Saccharomyces cerevisiae S288C: one gene and its partner. The protein of the gene in region 1 interacts with the protein of each later gene in a pairwise test. Each region holds a gene or a part of one and is shown in the gene's direction. Other genes may lie near its edges. The genes, in order: MLS1 and PEX9.

Region 1 (11,882 bases):
TCGGATTCGGAGGAGCATTAAAATTAGGGGGGACCGGAGTTGGAATAGGGTTAGCGCTATTACTATTGTTAGTTAATGGTAACATAAATGGGAAAGGTGCAAAAGGCTGGCCATTCATTGTCGCAAACAATTGAGGATTTGACATGAATACGTTAGCCATTGGCATAGTAGGTGGTATAACATTCTTATTGTTAGCAAACGGTTCAGAAAGAGATGGAAATATTGAAGGTTGTTGTTGAGAAGAAAACGATGACTGCTGATCCTTCTGTTGGTTGTGTTCTCCTGATTGCTCTTTCAAATGCTGAAGCTCTTGGCTCGAGGGTACCTGTCCGTTGGAGACCGCATTATTATTACTGTTAGCTTGCACTGCAGTATGTAACATATTCAGCAACTCTCTACCGGGATCAATCTGCTCCTCCTTAGTGATACCCAACAACAATTTCAATTGTTCTTCCGCATAGGATTTCAATTGATCTTCATTTTTTATTTGCCTCTGATGCCTTAACCACATTGATAAGGGTCTCATCATGGAATTAATCAGATAATACTTGATATTTGATTTGTACATTGTTTTAGAAATTTTCTTAAAATCGAACCATTCTATCTTATCAATTTCATTTCTAACTTGAGGTTTAAAATTGAAGACTTCTGAAACACCAGATATCAAAAATATTTTGTAATTTTTACCTTGAATATTTCTTTCAATGAATTGGTTGTCGTCAATATAGTCCGTCAAATCGAAACCAATTTCTTCTTTCACTTCTCTAATGCAACAATCTATGTCATTTTCATCTTTAGATATCTTCCCCCTTGGGAATGACCAAGAATCCGATTCAGTACCCTGTACCAATAAAATTTTACTCAGGTTCTCGTTAAATATGGCAGCGCCCCTCACCGGTATACTTTTCTTATACTTGGAGAATTGCTGGAGTGCCTCATCCACTCTTATGTCCCATTTCCAAACCAGAGGACATAGTTTTATGATCAATTGAGCAAATGATTTAATCTTTAGGGAGGGTAAAGTTGGATTCATCAATTTGATGAAATCCGTGTAAAACCATGAGGCTTCTTCAAAATGAAATAACTCTCTCTCGACACTCGATAAATCTTCATTCGGACAATTTATAATAAAACGTACTAATAAGTCCTCTAAAATTCTATCAACAGAAGTAACGTTCTCCAATGCGTGTCGTAGCGGCAGTGACATTGTCTAATGCGAAGGTACTTTTATTTTTTTCAGATTCAAAGCAATATTATTTAGACAATTGATACTAAGTGAGCTTAAGGAGGATTAAACAACTGTGGAATCCTTCACAAGGATTCAATATTTGTTTTTCCTGGTTATTTTGCCATCATTCAACTTTCCTCAGACGTAAAATTCGTGCTTAGTGATGTCTCAATATTCCCGCAGGGTAATAAAATTCAATAACTATCACTATATACGCAACAGTATTACCCTACATTGCTATCGGCTCAATGGAAATCCCCATATCATAGCTTCCATTGGGCCGATGAAGTTAGTCGACGGATAGAAGCGGTTGTCCCCTTTCCCGGCGAGCCGGCAGTCGGGCCGAGGTTCGGATAAATTTTGTATTGTGTTTTGATTCTGTCATGAGTATTACTTATGTTCTCTTTAGGTAACCCCAGGTTAATCAATCACAGTTTCATACCGGCTAGTATTCAAATTATGACTTTTCTTCTGCAGTGTCAGCCTTACGACGATTATCTATGAGCTTTGAATATAGTTTGCCGTGATTCGTATCTTTAATTGGATAATAAAATGCGAAGGATCGATGACCCTTATTATTATTTTTCTACACTGGCTACCGATTTAACTCATCTTCTTGAAAGTATATAAGTAACAGTAAAATATACCGTACTTCTGCTAATGTTATTTGTCCCTTATTTTTCTTTTCTTGTCTTATGCTATAGTACCTAAGAATAACGACTATTGTTTTGAACTAAACAAAGTAGTAAAAGCACATAAAAGAATTAAGAAAATGGTTAAGGTCAGTTTGGATAACGTCAAATTACTGGTGGATGTTGATAAGGAGCCTTTCTTTAAACCATCTAGTACTACAGTGGGAGATATTCTTACCAAGGATGCTCTAGAGTTCATTGTTCTTTTACACAGAACTTTCAACAACAAGAGAAAACAATTATTGGAAAACAGACAAGTTGTTCAGAAGAAATTAGACTCGGGCTCCTATCATCTGGATTTCCTGCCTGAAACTGCAAATATTAGAAATGATCCCACTTGGCAAGGTCCAATTTTGGCACCGGGGTTAATTAATAGGTCAACGGAAATCACAGGGCCTCCATTGAGAAATATGCTGATCAACGCTTTGAATGCTCCTGTGAACACCTATATGACTGATTTTGAAGATTCAGCTTCACCTACTTGGAACAACATGGTTTACGGTCAAGTTAATCTCTACGACGCGATCAGAAATCAAATCGATTTTGACACACCAAGAAAATCGTACAAATTGAATGGAAATGTGGCCAACTTGCCCACTATTATCGTGAGACCCCGTGGTTGGCACATGGTGGAAAAGCACCTTTATGTAGATGATGAACCAATCAGCGCTTCCATCTTTGATTTTGGTTTATATTTCTACCATAATGCCAAAGAATTAATCAAATTGGGCAAAGGTCCTTACTTCTATTTGCCAAAGATGGAGCACCACTTGGAAGCTAAACTATGGAACGACGTCTTCTGTGTAGCTCAAGATTACATTGGGATCCCAAGGGGTACAATCAGAGCTACTGTGTTGATTGAAACTTTGCCTGCTGCTTTCCAAATGGAAGAGATCATCTATCAATTAAGACAACATTCTAGTGGGTTGAATTGCGGACGTTGGGACTATATTTTCTCTACAATCAAGAGATTAAGAAATGATCCTAATCACATTTTGCCCAATAGAAATCAAGTGACTATGACTTCCCCATTCATGGATGCATACGTGAAAAGATTAATCAATACCTGTCATCGGAGGGGTGTTCATGCCATGGGTGGTATGGCTGCGCAAATCCCTATCAAAGACGACCCGGCAGCCAATGAAAAGGCCATGACTAAAGTCCGTAATGATAAGATTAGAGAGCTGACAAATGGACATGATGGGTCATGGGTTGCACACCCAGCACTGGCCCCTATTTGTAATGAAGTTTTCATTAATATGGGAACACCAAACCAAATCTATTTCATTCCTGAAAACGTTGTAACGGCTGCTAATCTGCTGGAAACCAAAATTCCAAATGGTGAGATTACTACCGAGGGAATTGTACAAAACTTGGATATCGGGTTGCAGTACATGGAAGCTTGGCTCAGAGGCTCTGGATGTGTGCCCATCAACAACTTGATGGAAGACGCCGCCACTGCTGAAGTGTCTCGTTGTCAATTGTATCAATGGGTGAAACACGGTGTTACTCTAAAGGACACGGGAGAAAAGGTCACCCCAGAATTAACCGAAAAGATTCTAAAAGAACAAGTGGAAAGACTGTCTAAGGCAAGTCCATTGGGTGACAAGAACAAATTCGCGCTGGCCGCTAAGTATTTCTTGCCAGAAATCAGAGGCGAGAAATTCAGTGAATTTTTGACTACATTGTTGTACGACGAAATTGTGTCCACTAAGGCGACGCCCACTGATTTGAGCAAATTGTGATCTCCCTTGCCCCAGTGTACACATATATAAAAATATATTCATGCCTATATGATTATGTATCGGAATCCAAAAACTTATCTTTATATTGCTTCGTTTCGTAGTTAGCAATGAATCATCTTATCATGATTCCTTTTTTTGTTTTGGCCAGATTAATGTATCACGGTCGACGGCGAAGGCATCAACCATTGTTGTGGAATTTCAAACACAATACTTGATGACTCCAAACGTGGGCATATATTTTGATTTGAAAAGAAGTCGAGAAAGTATAGCAACGCATTGTATACGTTTGAAGCTTTCAGCAAAGGATATACCGTGGAAATGTACACGCCTATCCCTGCTAATACCCCTGCTCCCACTGCACCAACTTCATCGATGACGTCCAACTCTTCATCCGCATCAAATGCCAACACCACTAGCAGTAGTGGCATAAACCCAAGGAACAGAGCCAGTGGTACTCCATCCAATGAGCGGGCTCGTCCGGCGTCGGGTATCAGTTCGTTTTTGAATACCTTCGGAATTAGGCAAAATAGCCAGACAGCTTCTTCTTCTGCGGCTCCTGATCAGCGTCTATTCGGCACAACCCCATCTAACTCACATATGAGTGTGGCCATGGAAAGTATCGATACCGCTCCGCAACAGCAGGAACCACGTCTGCATCATCCTATACAAATGCCTCTGTCGGCCCAGTTCCACGTTCATCGCAACTATCAACTCCCCATCTCCATATCTCTCACTGCCCCTACAACCACAGACCACCAGCAATCATCTGCGCATAATTTCGAAGGCAACAATGTTGGTAACGTTCAAGAGTCTTTGAATCAGCGGCAGCCTAACGGTACTAACAATACCACAACCTCGATAATTTCCATGGCGCCAGCGGCTACAACGAGAAATATAGTCGGTGGTGCAGATGGATCTACTATTGTTAACAACAGTCAGGAAATGTATAAGAATTTACGTCACTTGATATATGCTGCAAACCAGCCAAATGGGACCGAAATTTTACATTTGGATTTACCTGCAACAAGTGCAGAGGAGTCAAACAATATGTTCAATGTAGATGAGGTCACTTTGAAGCAAAGGAAAGATAAGCATGGTCTTTTTAGTATAAGACTAACCCCATTTATTGATAGTTCGTCCACGACAAATCAAGGTTTATTCTTTGAACCGATTATAAGAAAGGCTGGCCCTGGATCCCAATTGGTTATTGGCCGCTATACTGAGCGTGTTCGCGATGCAATTTCTAAAATACCTGAACAATATCATCCAGTTGTATTTAAATCCAAAGTTGTTTCAAGGACACATGGTTGTTTTAAAGTTGACTCTCAAGGTAACTGGTATATAAAGGATGTGAAATCATCTAGTGGAACTTTCTTAAATCACCAAAGGCTCTCACCCGCTTCCTCTTTATCGAAAGATACCCCTCTTCGTGATGGTGATATTTTACAGTTAGGAATGGATTTTAGAGGTGGCACGGAAGAAATCTATCGTTGTGTAAGGATGAGGATTGAGCTAAATAGATCATGGAAACTAAAGGCAAATTCGTTCAACAAAGAAGCTTTACAGCGTTTGCAGAATTTACAAAAATTAACTACAGGTATTGAAGAAGAAGATTGTTCGATTTGCCTATGTAAGATCAAACCGTGTCAAGCAATTTTCATATCACCATGCGCACATAGCTGGCATTTCCGTTGTGTAAGAAGATTGGTCATGCTCTCATATCCGCAATTTGTTTGCCCCAACTGTAGATCAAGTTGTGATTTGGAGGCCTCCTTTGAAAGTAGTGACGAGGAAGATGAAAGTGATGTGGAAAGTGAAGGTGATCAACTGGTGGATCAACTTAGCGTCTTAATGGAAACTTCAAAGGATGTTGATAGCCATCCTTAAGGTCAAAGAAAATACACAGTTTGAAAAATAAAGAAAAACCACCGAACTCCACATCTCGTACCTTAATATTATTTTAATTATTCTCTTAGTATTTATATATTTGCGCCGTTTACATATTTGACTTATTGTTTTCAGGAATACAATACCTCCATCGTTGGCAGTCAATTTTGCTTTCACATATAAAACTAAAAAAAAAGTAAAGAACTCGGTTAATCCTCGGTTAGTTTGCCAAGCTCACCTATTAATCTTAATAGGACTTCTTGAGTTTGTTGTTTGCCCAGACCATACTTATATATTTCATGCCCACCTTCAACTATTTTCCATTCTTGAGTCTTGTGAGAAATTTTGGTCAAATCTCTTTGCCAATCGCCCCATAATGCCGACTTCTTCACCATTTCCTTAGAGCTAACGATGCTTGTCTTCACATTTTGCAAAGATTCTGCATTGTTTGTCACATCTCTGTAACTTAGAATTGAACTCGTCACGCTTTCCAAAAACTTGGAACGCAAGAAACGTCCTTGATATTTCATATCACGCCCATATATACGTTCTTTAGACCCATGATGAGCTAGTAACCATGAAGTCTGTAATCTCCATCCTAAACTCGACCAAATGCCTTTCCACCATAATCTAAATTCGTTATGCCTTTCTATCTCCGAAGGTAACCAAGTCTTATCATGGTTGCGGCCATCCCCATCATTACCATTGCCATCGTCGCCATCGTCGCCATCACCACGGCCTGGAGGTAGTAATCTTTGAATGTAGTTTTTTAACAATAGTTCTTCATGCCATGATTCAACAAGCATCATGCTATCCACAATATCGACATTCTTGGCGGTAAATACTCTTGTAAATAGCCCGCCAAGGTCGTATCCTACTGTAGTGAAGGGACCTTTAATTTTTGCATCTTTGATCAATGCGTACCTTAAAGATTCCGCAACCATCGCAATAGAGATTGGGGCGGGAGGAGAATCGCTCAACCCGTACCCTGGTCTATCGTATAGACAATATCTTTGAATTTTGTCTAAATGATATAGTTCCTCAATCCAGGTGGCAGAAAGGTAACCAGTATCATAACCTCCGTGTTCAAACAAGATGATAGGTTGCTTCTTATTTTCAGACAAATCTGTGTTGTTTTCTTGATCAAATACGTCACCATAACAAGTTATATGCAACTGATAGGTTTTAGCGGCATCTACGTAATGGAACGCCTCGTACGAGGGCGACTGAACGGTTATTGGTAATTTGTGAGTCAATCTGTAGGTATCCAATGTCGTTAAAAGTGTATTCAGGGTGAATAAAGCGAAGAATATTAAAATTAAAAACTTAATAGTATTCCTGAACCCAATGGATACCCATTCTGTCAATGTATGTTTGTTTTGGACCAGCTGCGAGCGGTGGGTGGGGGTTGGCGACCCAGAGCCATATTGGCTTCTGTCCCTGTTTTCGGTACTATTTGTATGGTTTTCGTTGAAAGTACTAATATTAGCATCATCAATTCTGCGTTCCTCCAATGGCTCATTTATTGAGTTGTTGTAAAACAAGAGATACCAATCTAATATTGCCCCAATAAAAAATGAAAACGAAGTCCACAAATATGTAAACGTGCCCACAAAGCCGATTCTTTGCCTAGTGTATTTAATTAGATAGGTCAATGCTAGATTGAACAACGTCAAAACACAGAGAGTTACATTTAAGCTGTAATCTAAAGCTGAGTACAGTCCCAGCTTATTAAACCAGAGATTGAAAGAATTAGCTATGATCGAGATGAATATTAAAGTCAAGTCGTTAAAACTTGCGTACCTGTTACTGAATCCGAAAAGAATATTGATATTGAAAAAGAAATCTGAAATCAAAGTGGTGACTAGCCAGATGGTGTTAATTAGAATTAGGATATTTAATATCCATTTGGAGTTATGAATAAAGATTCTATAACCTTTGCGAATTTGAAAGAGACTATCTTTGATGAACCCATCGGATTCAATGTCACGACCTTCATTAACTGCTGGGCCATTCGCGGATCCTGCACCAAGGGTCCGGTGGTTGTTGTTCAGCAACGGTTGCGCTTCTGGGTGTTCACTATCTATATCTGTTCTTTCCATTCCCGTCCTTGCCGGATCATTATCTAAACCATTAGCCTTCATGATCTGTTCGCTCTGATGCCTACAGTTCTTTCTTCAATGGCTTTCCTTTCCTTTCCTCCTTATAGAATATAGCAAGGCATCTAACTTTTAGTTTTTCTCTCATCCCTTTAAACTGCACGATGGTTAAAATTAGGGGTCCGAATAGCCTTGCAAGGAATAGATTAAAGAACACTATATATGCATAGCCACTTCAAAACGTGCTGAGAACATGCCATCAAGGTTGACCAATACGATTGCTGATTCGACAACTTCTACATTACATAGGCATATACATATCAGAAAAACGTGCTTTATAGGTACATTTTTTAATTCCTTAAACATAACTTGCTTCTATTTTGGGATAGTTCCTTTTCTTTGAACTACGTTTTTTGGGCAGAAATATAAAAAAAAACCGAAAAAAACGGCACGCAAGAAAGCTTATTCAAAAAGACGCAACAATATCATAGATTATTCTAAGTACCAACAACGTGATAAACTTTGTTCTAATAAAGCTACATCTTATCTCTTCTGTACAGCTTTATTGGGGTGAATCATATTTACTTCAATCCGGGTAATGGTAAACGTAACAAGTGATAGAAATATTCACCTGCGATGAGCTGGAAAAAAAAAAAATTTCAAAAGAAAACCATACTAATGCTGAGGTATAAAGTAACGAATTGGGGAAAGGCCATCAATCCAAAGTCGGAAAAATTGAACTTCACATAAAGTACCAGGCAAATGACTGAAGACATCGAACAAAAAAAGACCGCTACAGAGGTAACACCACAAGAACCAAAGCACATCCAAGAAGAAGAAGAACAGGATGTTGATATGACTGGCGATGAAGAACAGGAAGAGGAACCAGACAGGGAAAAAATTAAGCTTCTCACACAGGCAACATCTGAAGATGGAACTAGTGCCTCTTTTCAAATTGTAGAGGAGGATCACACGCTTGGAAATGCCCTTCGTTACGTTATAATGAAAAATCCAGACGTAGAATTTTGTGGTTACTCGATACCTCATCCTTCTGAAAACCTATTAAATATCAGAATTCAAACCTACGGTGAAACGACCGCGGTGGATGCTCTTCAAAAAGGGCTAAAGGACTTGATGGATTTATGTGACGTTGTAGAATCTAAGTTTACTGAAAAAATCAAGAGCATGTAGATGTTACGGATCGACTCAAAGACCCTCTGTCACTCTGAAATTTCTAATAATTATGCACACCACGCTAGTATAGATACAGCTTGATTTGTGTATCCCGTTTATAGTCGTGCTATTTAAAATCTATGTATAATATAACCAGATAAAAATACACCTTCGTACAAGGTGCTAATAATGTTGAGAATTCGAAATTCCTTTTTAAAGGCGTATTCCGTATTGAATGATTGAAAAATTTATTTCTTTTTTTATTTCTTTTTTTTTTTTTTTTTTTTTTTTTTACGCCGATGCTCATCGCAGAAAATTTTTCCTTCAGTTTATTTGTCTTATAAAAAGACTGTCCTACGCTCAAATAACTTATACTTTTCTGTATCTCATTCAAATTATTTTCTTGTCAACAACCTGTAACAGAATTAAGCACTATTAAGGCAAATTTAGAGCAAATATGACTTACGGTGGTAGAGATCAGCAATATAACAAGACTAACTACAAGTCTAGAGGTGGCGACTTCCGCGGTGGAAGAAACTCTGATAGAAACTCTTACAATGACAGACCACAAGGCGGTAACTACCGTGGTGGTTTCGGTGGTCGTTCCAATTACAACCAACCCCAGGAATTGATCAAACCAAACTGGGATGAAGAATTACCCAAATTGCCAACTTTCGAAAAGAATTTCTATGTTGAACACGAAAGTGTTCGCGACAGATCGGACAGTGAGATTGCTCAGTTCAGAAAGGAAAATGAAATGACTATTTCCGGACACGATATTCCAAAGCCAATCACCACTTTCGATGAAGCTGGTTTCCCAGACTACGTTTTGAATGAAGTGAAGGCTGAAGGATTTGACAAACCAACTGGCATTCAATGTCAGGGTTGGCCAATGGCTTTATCTGGTAGGGACATGGTTGGTATTGCTGCCACTGGTTCCGGTAAGACTTTGTCTTATTGTTTACCAGGTATTGTTCATATCAACGCTCAACCATTATTGGCTCCAGGCGATGGACCAATTGTTTTGGTTTTGGCTCCAACTAGAGAATTGGCTGTTCAAATTCAAACAGAATGTTCCAAGTTTGGTCATAGTTCCAGAATCAGAAATACCTGTGTCTACGGTGGTGTTCCAAAAAGTCAACAAATCAGAGATTTATCTCGTGGCTCTGAAATTGTTATTGCTACTCCAGGTCGACTAATTGATATGCTAGAGATTGGTAAGACTAATTTGAAGAGAGTCACTTACCTGGTTCTTGATGAAGCTGATAGAATGTTAGATATGGGTTTTGAACCTCAAATCAGAAAGATTGTTGATCAAATCAGACCTGATAGACAAACCTTGATGTGGTCTGCCACTTGGCCAAAGGAGGTGAAGCAACTAGCCGCTGATTACTTGAATGATCCAATTCAAGTTCAAGTTGGTTCTCTAGAACTATCTGCCTCCCATAATATTACTCAGATCGTCGAAGTTGTTTCTGATTTCGAAAAGAGAGATCGTTTGAACAAGTACTTAGAAACAGCCTCTCAAGACAACGAATACAAGACATTAATCTTTGCTTCTACGAAAAGAATGTGCGATGATATCACCAAGTATCTAAGAGAAGATGGATGGCCCGCCTTGGCTATTCATGGTGACAAAGACCAAAGAGAACGTGACTGGGTTCTACAAGAGTTTAGAAACGGTAGATCCCCAATTATGGTTGCTACTGATGTGGCCGCCAGAGGTATCGGTATGTTAAAATTTTCTCCATTTTTTTATTGATTTTATTTTTTTTTGTTACCCCTAACGATATTACAGCTATTTCCTAATGGCTTTTAATGACATTAATGACTTTATGACAACCATGATAGTACAGAAGAGAGACCTTTTTTCTTTTTTTTTTTTTTTTCTTTTTTTTTTTTTTTTCTTTTTTTCTTTTTTTTTTTTTTGAGCCTTTTCGAATCTAGACTCTATGTGAGTCTATTCTCGATGGGGAGTATCGGAAATTGAATTTTAATTCGAATGACTTCTAATGCATCACTACAGAAAACTAATATTGGGAGGATGAGAAAAATTGACTTTAATTAGTCGTTTTGAGAGACGGGAAATTATAAACTCGGAGAAGTGTATTTGTGTTCATGATTTGCACTTCATGTCAAAAGAAATTTCGCTTTTTGACATCGGCGCAAATAAACAAGGAATTGGCTTTTCAGCTTATTTCTAGAACGCATACATACGCTTCGTTGATCGTTGTTTTTTTCAATGCTTGGCATTTGTACAAGGGTAGATTGTTTTATTGGAAAAATAATAGTATATTCTACTTTGAAATGCCGTCATCCTTCTTGACTATTGTTATTCTCATTTTGTGTAGTTTATGCATTTTGTAGTTATATTGAGATACTGTTGCATCCCAAGTTCGAATTATTAAGAAGTGCTGATAAAAATGGAAAATAACAAAATAAAAGGATTTCAACCATATTCAGAAATCATTTACTTTGTTTTCCTTTTTTTAAGTGCTAGCTTTCATTCAGTTTGAATAAGGATTCTGGAGTATTGATGATTAAATATTTCGAATTCTTTAATAAAAATATAATTTCTGATAATCTTCAAGCCAGGGGGAAATTTGAGACAATGTTGGGAGTCCAAACATGAATTTGTGGGGGGCATGAAAATAAAGTTCATATACAGAATAACGAACCAAATTACTAACAGTATGCTTTGTAAACGTTTGTTTACTTCTTTATTTTTTCAGATGTCAAAGGTATCAATTACGTTATCAACTACGATATGCCAGGTAACATTGAAGATTATGTTCACAGAATCGGTAGAACTGGTAGAGCAGGTGCTACTGGTACTGCTATATCTTTCTTCACCGAACAAAACAAAGGTTTAGGTGCTAAATTAATCTCTATCATGAGAGAAGCTAATCAAAATATTCCTCCCGAATTATTGAAATACGACAGGAGATCTTATGGTGGCGGTCACCCAAGATACGGTGGTGGTCGTGGTGGTCGTGGTGGCTATGGCCGTAGAGGTGGTTACGGTGGTGGCCGTGGTGGTTACGGCGGTAACAGGCAG
Region 2 (11,882 bases), on another chromosome or scaffold:
TATCCGTCGAAGTCAATGCGGAGATTGGTAATTGACTAGATCGTGGCTCCTTTAATGTTTGATTATCTGGTACAGTATTCCCACTGTCTGCTTCCTTAGACCATTTGGAATGTGATGCCGATTCAGATTCCACTCTTGGAAGGGTGATTCCTGTATGGATACTTCCCACATTTGATTCAGATGATTGATTTGTGTTTGTTGTAGTTGGAGAAGGTGTCAAAGGCTTTGAATCTGCAGGTGTAATGCCTAATGTACTTGCCGAATTCATTGTGGCGTTGCGTGGATACGATAAGGGTGAAGCTATGTTGCCCATCAGTTGTTGTTTCATCGGCATTGTTGCCGAAAGGGTCTGTAGGTTAGTTATAGTATGTCCTTCTAGTTGGTTAGAGTTAGGCATTGTGCATTTTTTCAAGGGCTTTTCACCCGCAGCGATTGTACTTACAGCTGGTATAGAATTATTGGGTATAATTTTGTTGTTCAAATTCATTGAGGAGTATGTCAGCTGAGCAGCAGATATATTTGAAGGACCATTAGGATTTTGATAGTTGTTAATAGGTTGATAATAGGTACGCGGACTGATGGATTTAATACCAGTGCTACTGCTACTACTACTGCTATCATTGCTTGGATTATTTTGTTTCAATACGCTCTGAATATCCCTGATGAACAAGGGATAAAGATAGTCAGCAATTTTTTCTCTTTGTGCTATTGCTAGGGCACGCTCAAACGGTATCCAGACACCCTTCAAATGCATGGAACCAATCTTCACCACATGCCTGATTTTTTCCGCTTTTAGAATACCATCTCTTCTACCTCTTGTCATCTTAGTTACATTCAGAAGTTTGGTACCATTAACCATATCATTATCTGCTCTTCTTACCACTGAAATACCGTTAGCTTCTACCTGATAACATAGCGTTTTTTCATCCTCCCACATTGTTGTTGTTACTCTTGGCCTTATTATACTTGCCGAAGTGCCGCTGGTGTTACTGCCTGTGGCATTGGTAGTGGCGATTAAGGGCATCGGGTGCCTTATGGTAGTTGTTTGGAAAGAATTCATGGTTTTAGCCATTGAGTCATACTGTTGATCTGACACTCCGTGCCTATTTGCAGTTAAATAAGTTTCTTGATCAGTAGAGGGTTTAACTGGTGGAGTTATAGAATTTCCATCATACAACGGGCTCACCTGTTGTTGTTGCTGAGGCGGTAGCAAACCCACTTGCGGAAGATTGTAGCTTAAAGGTCCATTTTGGCTGGTTGGACCTTGAGTTGGCGTTGTTAATGATCTTGGAGGAATTGGAGAATGCGAGTTTGGAATTGACGAAGTCTTGTGAAAACCGGGGTATTGGTAGGTGGAAGGTTGTGGATAGTTTGACATTGGAGGCTGCTGAGCTAAGGACGAGATACTATTACTATTGCGACTAGTGCGATTAGAATTGGGAGACATAGAGCCACTGGACGAATCAGAAGGTGGTCCAGATTTACTGAACTTTGAAAATGCATTACCTATCTTTGGTGGTTGGGCCGGATACGTTTGAGCTTGTAATTGTTGTTGCTGCTGGTGTTGTTGCTGTTGTTCAAAGGTTGAGTAGGTTTTTTCCAAATTGGGGTTTTGGACTTGATTACTGGTTACAGATGGTGTTGCACCGTTAGTGGTTCCATCGCCGTTTGCAGGATAATAATAATACGCTTGTGGATACGAATATGCCATTGATTGTTGGGCTTGCATTTGGGGAAAATAATAGTAGTATGGTACATTGTTACTGATATTAGTACTGTTATTGCTTTTTTTGGTGGTGATTGCAGAACCATTCGGTAACGCAGTTGCAGTAGCGTTGGAAGGAACACCTACAGACGTGGAAGGTGGATTGGAAGCATTTGAGTCAGAACCGCTACTCTGAAAGGATTCTTGAACTTGATACATCTGAGGCTGGGATTGCAGTTGCTGTTGAGACTGGGATTGCGGCTGCTGATAATATTGCGGGTACGGCCACTGTTCAGGAACTACGTATTGGTAGGATACGGGCATCAGAGGTTGAACGCTCTGGCCGAGATATTGTTGTTGTTGCTGCTGCTGTTGGGTGGACTGGCCAATAGTACTTTCGCTATTGCTCACGGCACTCATATTTGATTCCTGGCGCATGCGGTTGGACTTGATATCATTCGTATTGATTGGGTTACCGATGGGCATGACAAAAGGACCTTACCAGGGTTATATAAGGATGATTTTGTACTGTGCTTAACAAATCCACTTTCAATTTCTGAAAACAAAGATCAAAAAGGTTTTTTTTTTTTATACAATTGTGAAGTATGTTTAATGAAAACAGCACAAAATGATATCTCTCTGCTTGCAATATAAAAAGCTATGGAAAAGGATTATCAACTATACTAGAAGGCTTACACACGCACAGGCACACACAACTAATGCAAAAGATAGTGGGGAAAAACTTCAAAAACTAACAAAAAGAAGTGTTAAAGATGAACTTTTTTCTTTTGTATCGTCGGCTTGCCACATTCGATAAGTTAATAAAACACAAACGGGCAACACATCTACGTACTTTTTATGTGAAGACAAGAGAAAGAATACATCACTGATACGTGCGTCTATTGCGCAGCACTGTACTATTGCGAAGAACTGAGTGAAGGCAAAGAATGAGATGATCGATGCTTAGCCGACTGTTAAACTTACTGAGCGGTAGCCTCTACTAGTTCCTTAGTCAGATCGCACTCAACTTGGAATGTTCCGTCAGGCCCACGGAAGAAAAAGCAACAAAAGAAAGAAAAACCGGACAACATGCGGGAAAAATGCAAACTGTGTGAGGGAAAAATTAACTTTAAAGATTACATCAACGGCGGGAAAAGATCCTTCCGCAGTCCTTCTACTGCGGTTTCCCTGCAGGCACAGCTAACCGGAGGGAAGACAAGTCAAGCGGACATGCAGTTCCCGCTCAGGCTTCTTTGCAGAGAAATCGGAATATGAATTTTTTGTGTTTTTTGTTAACTTCTTTACCATTCGCATCACGGGAAGAGTGTGTTGGCATAAGAGGCGCAAGAAAAAGGTGACCCACGGTGGTGGGAAAGAGAAGAAAAAGCCGTTTGCGGAAAGCAATGTTTTGCCCATTCAGAAACAATATCTTTGCTGTATCCCTACATGTATTATGCCGCGTTGCTTGTGCAGGTACGGAGTCCCTGCACGATTTTTCAACAAGGTCTAGATTTGCTAAGACGATGAGGCGGAGCCCGAAACAAACAAGCCAAAAACCGGAATTTCGCGCTTGGTGTGCTTTCGCATCTTTTCGTGTGGTGAATGCACCTGGTGCACGCTGCGAAGGTGACGTAGCAATCCAAAAAAGGGAAGTCTAGGCGCTTTCAACCGCCCCCCACCGTGCATGCGGATTGGTTGTCACAATTCGCAGACATATTGGCAATGTTTCCTCCCCTCCTGTTGATGCGGGTAAGGGGTGTCTGTTATGCAGGAACAGGAAGGTAAAAATTAAATGGGCCTTAATTCTGTAGACACTCTCTTGGGGTAATAAGGTTAAAAGCCATTGTTGAAGTACGGAATCATCTCTTCATTTTTTCAGCGCTTGTAAGGAATTAATCCCCAGGAAGGTGCCGATGTAATGAGAGAAGTATTCTTGTTGTATCTCTTTGGTTCGGAGTATTTCCTTCTTTCTTTTCTTTGTAGTTTTTATGCAAATGCAGGGAACAGAGTACCCGGTTAAGGCTGTTAGTCAGCCGCACTCTACACAAAATTACTTGGCAAACACGTTGGTTGGGAAAAGCTTTATACTTGGCGGTGTAGTAATTGTAAAGGATCAAGATTGTGTCATGCTAATGTGCCGCTGTGTAACAACCTTTTTGAAGCGCGTATTTACCACCGGCAAAAGGCCATTGTGTCACATAAAAAAAAACTCCCGCCAAAGCCAGGTTCATTTTGCATAAGATTCACCACAGTACGGAAAATACGATAAGTTAACCAGTAATTTGCTCGCTTTAGCTACTGATAAACCTTCTCTGTTAACACTATTATTTTTTTATTACTTTAGATTTTTCCGTTTGTGAATAGCCATTTTTAGATATATAATGGGGTTCAGAAAAATACTTGCTAGCAAATCGCATCACAGTCGCCACCATAATCAGCACCATAAGAACCTGAAGTTGCAAAATCATCGCTATGTACTTATTTCCAATATTACAGGATCCCATGAAACAAAATATTTATCACCCTTCAGGATGGACAATTGTTCAGGAAGCAGAAGACGTGATAGGCTACATGTGAAGCTTAAATCCTTGAGGAATAAAATCCACAAACAACTTCACCCAAACTGTCGGTTCGATGACGCCACTAAGACTAGTGATGATAAATGCGTCTCTTATGAGGTGCCCGAAAGGGATGGCCTTGCTACTATTTCGTTAGAAGAGGTTTTTCCAAAGTCCAACAGGTGCCAAATACCTGAAGAAAACTTGGGAGAAACAGATAGCGTTATTCACAGAGATTTGGGAAATTTTGCAAATGAGAATGACTATCCACAGTGGAGAAAAGTTGAAAGTCAATATAACTTAGAGAATGTCCAGCCTGAGGAGGATGAAATAGTTGATAGACTCAGGTCCGAGATTAGAAGCACTAAATTAAAATCTGTAAAAACGACAAGCAGAACACTTGAAAAAGCTATAGAGGCTCGATGTACTGGAAAGAGAGTTCTTCAACAACTAAGTTGTCAGAGCAACCAACTCACCAAGATCGAGAGCAATTGTGACATGCTTAAAATTCAATCTAACGTAGCCGACCGAAAGATTGACGAACTTGCCCATGAAAATAGAAGCCTGCTTGCATTAAAATCACCCAACCCCTTCAGGAAGAAAAGGGAGAGAGAAAAGCGAGACCAGATCTACAATTTGAAGTTAAAGCATCGTCACTTACAGCAAGAAACTATGAAAAGAGCCCAAGATTCTGACAAAAATTTAGCCATAAATCTAAGTTCTGAATATGGACGGTATGGCCAAGGGGTGGAAAGACAGCGTATTCTTAGAGATGCCCAGAAGTATCAGTTTGAAGCCGATGAAGAAGATAACCAAATGGAAATCGACTTGTACGGAAACCTAGAACAAATAAAAGCGGTGAGTGGTGACTTGAAAATTATGGCTCACGCTTTTGGCAGAGAGTTTGAAGCACAAAACACTAGAATGTTTGACATCGAGAACAATGTACAGCAGGCAGATAATGCTTTACAGGCCAAGCGATATAGATTGGAGAAAGTGATCGGGAAAAGATGGTGATCTGTTATACACACAAAATATCGTGTATAAATATATTGAATAAATAGTTTCTAAAAAGGCATACGCAGATATTCTTGCGAAAGAGAAAAAAAAAAGAGCGAGGGGGACATTAGTACTGAAGGTCTCAATTCTTCTTTGTATTTTCTTTCGGAGTTGTCAGACAAAGCTTTCTCTTTCCCATAAATAAAGTGCATTCAAACATCGGCAGGTTTGTTTTTCCCAGTTGTTACGTATTTGTTTCCCGTTCCATTCATGATCTTAAACTGGGTTAACTGAAAAATCAACATGATTTTGTGAAAAGTAAAAGAGGGTAAGAAAGATAGATACCGCTGTCGTGGGACTATATTTTTTACAGTACCAAGTCTACTTGCTTCTCATAAAGTTGATAAGTTATAATTCATATAATTTCATTTGTCAAAAAAGATTTTAGTTACAAAACGATATCAAAGTTCAATCTTGTTGGGAAAAAGGAAAACATTATGAAGGGTTTCCGGTAATCACTGCGTATGCCACACTATTCCTATAGAATTGTCTTGATTGGGTGCTTATGCTGCGGAAAAATTATATTCTGCGCTTGCCTTTTATATTAAGCGTCACAACGCCCTTACCAAGATCGAGCGGATTAAGACAAGAGTGTATCTCAAGCGTCCGTATATGTTTAAGTTGAAAAGGATATTTAGTAAGAATAATTCTACCCTACAAACGATATTAGTAAAAAAAAAAATCAATAATAGAGTTATTGTACAAACATGTTCTGAAAATTGGAAGCATCACATCGTATGCTACTAGAGAAAATTTTTACTATCCTTTTTTCCACAAGCCCAGCCCTAGCCCGATCATCCTATTAATTGTCAGACCACCGAATGCTATCCCGCCACGGTTGATATAACGAAACTCTTTACTGCTTTGGGTCAAATATGCCTCTTTTCCGCATTTTTTCGGAGTAGTTCATTGCCGCATACATACCGCAACTTGGACGAGGATGTCCTCCTTCTCTTACTTTTTTATTCGTTTCCAATTTGTTTCTCGTACCGTTCAAGTTTCAAGCCTACAAGAAATGTACACGACATGGATGCGTCAGCCTGATTCAGATATGACAAGATTGTTCCTGCGCATATGTGAATATGAGCGCACGCAATACATTGAGATCTTATTTGGGTTTGTAAGTGCAAACTTAATTTACTTTGCTTCCTGCCGGTTTTGATGTGCACCTGGGAACTTAAATAGCCGCCAAAAGAAAAGCAATCAGAGCGGCGCGGCGCAGACAAAACCCGAAGAGTTTCCTGGGAACGGTAGAGGCCTTGGTAGTACCTTACTAACGCCGGAGAGGATGATTGATACGCATTGAAATCGTACAGAAAACTTGGGGCAAAGCGCTCTTACCCCAATATTCTCACCCAAACAGTGGCAATAAATAAAGAAAAGGTCATCACTTTTTTTCGTACTCTTATCCGTTTTATTTTATTTTATTCTTTTTTTTTGAGTGGAGAATCATTAAGAATAAAGGGTACCTTTTGTAAGCACGATGAACGAAGTTACTTGTTCCATAACTGGTGACAACCCAATTCATAAGATCAACAATGGATTAGGCTTGAAATGGAATAATCTGGGTAAATTCTCTGATTTTCAGACTAACGATAGCGCCGCGCGAGATGCTAGAACAATAGATTACATCTTTACCAATTGTCAAACCGGCAGCAGTATTGGTAAGATAGATTTTCGGGCCGCACTACCGGCAGATAAATCTCAACATAGTGGTGTCAGCGAAAAAGAATTTTCAAGACTTGAGAACCAGTGGTCAAAGGAATTCTCTTGTTTCCCCAAGAATAAAAATGCTGATGTGACCAAGCCCAGTAGAAACAAACATGAGAAACGCTCCGCTAATTTGCACAATAGGTACTTTGCACAATATTATAGTACGGCATATCAGCAAAATCGTATATATCCTTGTCGAATATCTTACAATGAACACTCATCTGTTTCTAATGGCTGGGAATTTCAGTTCAAATCAATCGAAAATCAGTTACTAAATGAGCTAAAGATAGAAAACAATGTAGAAGAAAAAACTGTTGGTTATGAATATGTGGCAGAATACGAAGAAACAATTGATTTCATGCATATGCTGTCATCCGTACCACAAACATATCAATTCCTAAAATCAAACATCTACATAACGGAACGGGACCCATATAAAATAGGATGTGTACTAATGGACAACGGTTCCAATTTGAACGAAGTAGTAATGGCCTTTGAAGCAGCCATTTCACAAGATCCAAGCCATATAAATGCATGGTTGAAGTTAGGTATAGTTAATTTTGAAAATGAAAGCGAAAGCAATGGAGAGCTTGCTTTGCGAAATTGCTTAAATTTGGATCCAAATAATACAATTGCATTGGAAAACTTAGCAATTCACCATATAAATCAACAAAATGAATCAGAGTCATTGAAACTTTTTCACAAATGGATTCTTTCAAAATTTTCGAAGGTTTTCCAACCTTCTGCGGGGGAAAACAAAGATAGCATTAATAAAATTCCGAAAAAGGCCCATTTGGCGCATATTCTAGAATCCCTGTTGAATATGGGTATAGAAAAAAAAGATCAGTATGATATATATTCAGTATTATCAATCTTATATTATTCGGATCAGAAAATAAAGCAATCTCAGAAATGCTTAGAGTTTTTACTACTGGAAAAGCCCAATAATGGAACAATATGGAATAGATATGGTGCTATTTTGGCCAATACTAAGTCGTATCACTCTGCGATAAATGCGTACAATAAATGCAAACAACTAAGACCGAATTTTACAAGGGTTCGTTATAATTTAGCGATCGCCTACATGAATAAGGGTGACTATGTAAAAGCAAGCAAAATGCTAATCGAAGTTATACTGTTACGAAGTAAAGGATATGAACACAACAAAGCAAAAATGCAAAACAAATTTATGCAAAATTTAAAAAATGCTCTCATCGCTTCAAAAAATTTTGATTCACTTGATCTAATAAATGGTTCTCATAATACAGAATCGTTAATATCAACCTTAAAAGCTATTTATAACAAAATGGATTAGGTTTTAGTTAATTTTTTTGCTATATAGTGCATTCAAAATAAAAAAAATTAAAGCTGAAACAAACCAAATATGCTATTGGACGTTCGAAAAGCTAATTGCGTAAAGGAACACTAAACACAGCAAGCTTATGCTAGTTCTTCTCAAAAATATAAGTTCCTCTTGCAAGAATATGAAGGTAATTTCACTTTATCGCGCAAGTGCATATTTCTGAGTTTACTATGTGCTTCGTCTGAAACCTCTCATTATCTACTTAATATCGGCTATTCATCTCACGTATTCACGTAATATTTGATTTTTGTACTACTATTTCTCTCTGTCATACGTGCATGATACATTTCCTTGTTCAAATTAAAAGAGTCACCGTCAGCCTCTCAAAACAAAGAAAAAAGATACCCGGCTGAACATGAGTATCAATCATGAAATATATTATATACTTGTATTTGAGCATCGTTCAGTAGCAATCAAGCTCATCATCGTAGTGATTGTTCTCCTTCAGTTTTTTTTAGCACGAAGTCGGCAAATTGATAGGACATGGGCCCATACTAATAGAAAGGAACGGTTCAGAGAAATGACAGCTATCGGGAATACTGATGATGCACTTGATACTAGTACAGCCGCAAGTAAAGAAAATGGAAAAGGTAGACTCAGGGTTCAAAAAGCTTGTGAACTTTGCAAGAAGAGAAAGGTTAAATGCGACGGTAACAATCCTTGTCTGAACTGCTCTAAACATCAAAAAGAATGCCGTTATGATTTCAAAGCTACAAACCGTAAAAGAAGAAGACGACAGGTCGCATCAGCTGTTCGGGACGTTAGTAAGACATATGCAGAAACCAGTGAGTCTTTTCCTAGGGACTTGTTAAGTAAATCAAATATTATCATAAATGCCCCCTCAGATGGTGTATCTTCGTCTGCTAGCAACTCTCCCAATCCAAATTCACATTATCATCATATATCATCCACTTTACCCTTCATGAGCGGTAGGCCAAACCATACATTCCATTCCGGAAGCAACTTAAATGGAGAAAATAACAATAACAGTTTTCCGGAGGATCACATGGCTAAATTACTTCTGCAATTGAGTTCAAAATTGGGGAATACGACCAAGGAATCGTCAATTAGAACAACTAGAACCAATGCTAGTGATGTGAATGCAAACCCGACAGTGGTCAACATGAAAAATAGTCAGGAAGACTGTGACACGAATCACAGGTCTGCAATATGTGACTCTGCAGAGGCTCTTCATAATAACAACATCAATTCTAAAGAGAATAAGATAATCAACTCTCAAATAACTAACACTGTTAATGATCACTTTGAATCACCCTGGCAGACATTTTCTTTAGATAAGTATAGGTTTCACCGACGCTACCAAAATATTCTGCCCTATTACCTTGGTGTATCTATTTTAAAGGATCTATCTCCGCAGACAATAGAGTACGCGAAGTTGAAAAGGCCAAGAGTTCAAAACTATGGTTGGAACTTGTCAGGAGGCCATTACTTAAAGTATAAGGGTGACTTTAGAAGCCAAGAAAAAAATATAAGGCATGAGTCTAAATTTTTCGACTTTGATGACCCTGTTCACTTATCCTTAATCAATAAGTTACTAAGGTATTATTTTGATGAGATCAATCCTGTTTTCAGTATCATTCACGAAGCGACATTTTGGCAGCAATATAACAATAAATTTCTACGGCAAGGTAAACAAAATAATTCATCTGCGAATCTATTCACTTCCATGCTTTATCTAATTTTGTCTACTACACTAAGATTCAGAGAAGGGCATCTAGATGGTCAGAAAGGGCAAGGAACCTACAGTAACACATCCTTAAATATCACATTCGAGGAAAAATCTATTTTGATCAAAAAACCCTCCATAGAGGAAAATTTATTCAAATACGCTTATTTAATAATCAACACGCTGACCTTTGAGTGGGAATCATTCGAACTAATACAATCGTGGCTTTTGATAACCTTCTATTTCAGAACCTGTTACAGACAGACGGCGTGCTGGAACGCGTTAAGTCAAGCGGTGAACATGTGTAATGGGATGAGTCTATATTTAAACAAATTTCCTGAGATCCATTCCACTTATGATGAATCAAAAGCATGGCATTGTTTCTGGTGTTGTTTTATAATGGATAAGTTGATAAGTTTTCAAATGGGTCGATTCTACCAACTATCATTACCCGCGAGCGAGATGTGCGAACAGATGAATCTAGTGAAGTCAAAGAAATTTTTACAAGAAGAAGATGATTGGTTTCACGAAGAGACTTTTCAAATGCTTGATTTGTCCATAATAGTGACACAGTTTTTAAAAAGAGACGCACAGGATTTAAATTTGAACGAGACCGTGCAATTGCGCAGCCAACTTGGTCAATGGTATGACACCTTTATAGTTGGAAGTCAAACCAATGCGTACGACGACAATTATCGTTACTTCTATCAAGTTCAACCATTCATGACATACCTGGATATAAGGCTGACTTTCGAAGTAAGACAATTATTTTGTCTAATCGCCCCCTCATCTACCGCAAATAATAAATCCCTAGAATATGTCGTCGATACTGAATTGTTAATTTCTCATTGTCAAATGGCTATTGAAAATTTGGCTGAAATTACGAGAAGTAATCTTTTCTTTGTTCCGTGGTGGTTAAACCTTTCTCAACTATTCACGGTAAATTTAATATGTATTATCTACCTGCACGCAGGGATTGCCGTAACTCAAAATAAAGCTATCATGCAAAGCTGCCAAGAAATATGGCGAACCTTAGAGTGCTCTAAGCCAAAAAATCGGCCTTCAATGCTTCCTGAGTGCTTGTGGTGTTTGAAAATGCTGAATCATATGTTCTGCATACGACTGAGAGATTCTGCTTTGCAATTGGAAGCTACTCTCGGAACTGATCATGGTGATGACACCCCTAATAGAAATAAGTTTGAGCAGTTCAAGAAAGTTGGCGATAATGATGCGGATGTTGAAGTTGATGCTGGTGAAAGAGAAGAAAATGCTGATGAAAGACAAGAAAATCCACATAACAATAGCAAAAGAGTACCATTAGCTACTAGGTCTCATAATACCACTAACTTCGACGGTTCAATCGCAATTTCTCCGGAAAGTGCAGTAGCAAATCTAGGTACTGATACTGGATTGCCCTCAGATGTTCTTGATACTGTCAGTAAAATAGGGAACTCTCCTAATGTGTTTGATGATGATTTATTTTCCAATTTATTATGGTTTGACCAAAATTTTGCATAAGGATTCTTTTTCTATTCCATAAAACCATTTTATGGACACGTTTACCTACATATTATTATATTGTATATAAGATGTTGAAAAAATTGAGTCAACCTCACCTTACCACATGTTGGTCCGTTGCTATGACAAACTCTCGTTTTACAAGAAGGAGGCTCAAATTTCGGGTCACCCACCCATATACGGATGTCACGCTATGAGATCTTTTAAACAATAGACAATTTTTGGTATCCTAAAGATATAAAAGAGGAGTTTTTTTAAACCATGGTAACTATTTTCAAA

Evidence for each region.
Region 2: the proteins of MLS1 (region 1) and PEX9 interact in a two-hybrid assay, tested with the Saccharomyces cerevisiae proteins (2 studies listed by BioGRID).

Annotation. Positions count from the first base shown.
Region 1 is NC_001146.8:404,358-416,239, forward strand, and holds MLS1 (malate synthase MLS1), read left to right. Parts: upstream 1-2,000; coding exon 2,001-3,665; downstream 3,666-11,882. Other genes in the region: DCP2 (decapping enzyme complex catalytic subunit), read right to left, coding at 1-1,207; ubiquitin-conjugating protein DMA2, read left to right, coding at 3,984-5,552; YNL115C (uncharacterized protein), read right to left, coding at 5,762-7,696; DNA-directed RNA polymerase core subunit RPC19, read left to right, coding at 8,414-8,842; DEAD-box ATP-dependent RNA helicase DBP2, read left to right, coding at 9,282-10,554, 11,557-11,882. UniProt on the Saccharomyces cerevisiae protein: Malate synthase which takes part in the glyoxylate cycle. MLS1 activity is essential for cells to grow on oleic acid as a sole carbon source.
Region 2 is NC_001145.3:303,403-315,284, forward strand, and holds PEX9 (Pex9p), read left to right. Parts: upstream 1-6,805; coding exon 6,806-8,350; downstream 8,351-11,882. Other genes in the region: SOK2 (Sok2p), read right to left, coding at 1-2,191; SPO20 (Spo20p), read left to right, coding at 4,087-5,280; STB4 (Stb4p), read left to right, coding at 8,754-11,603.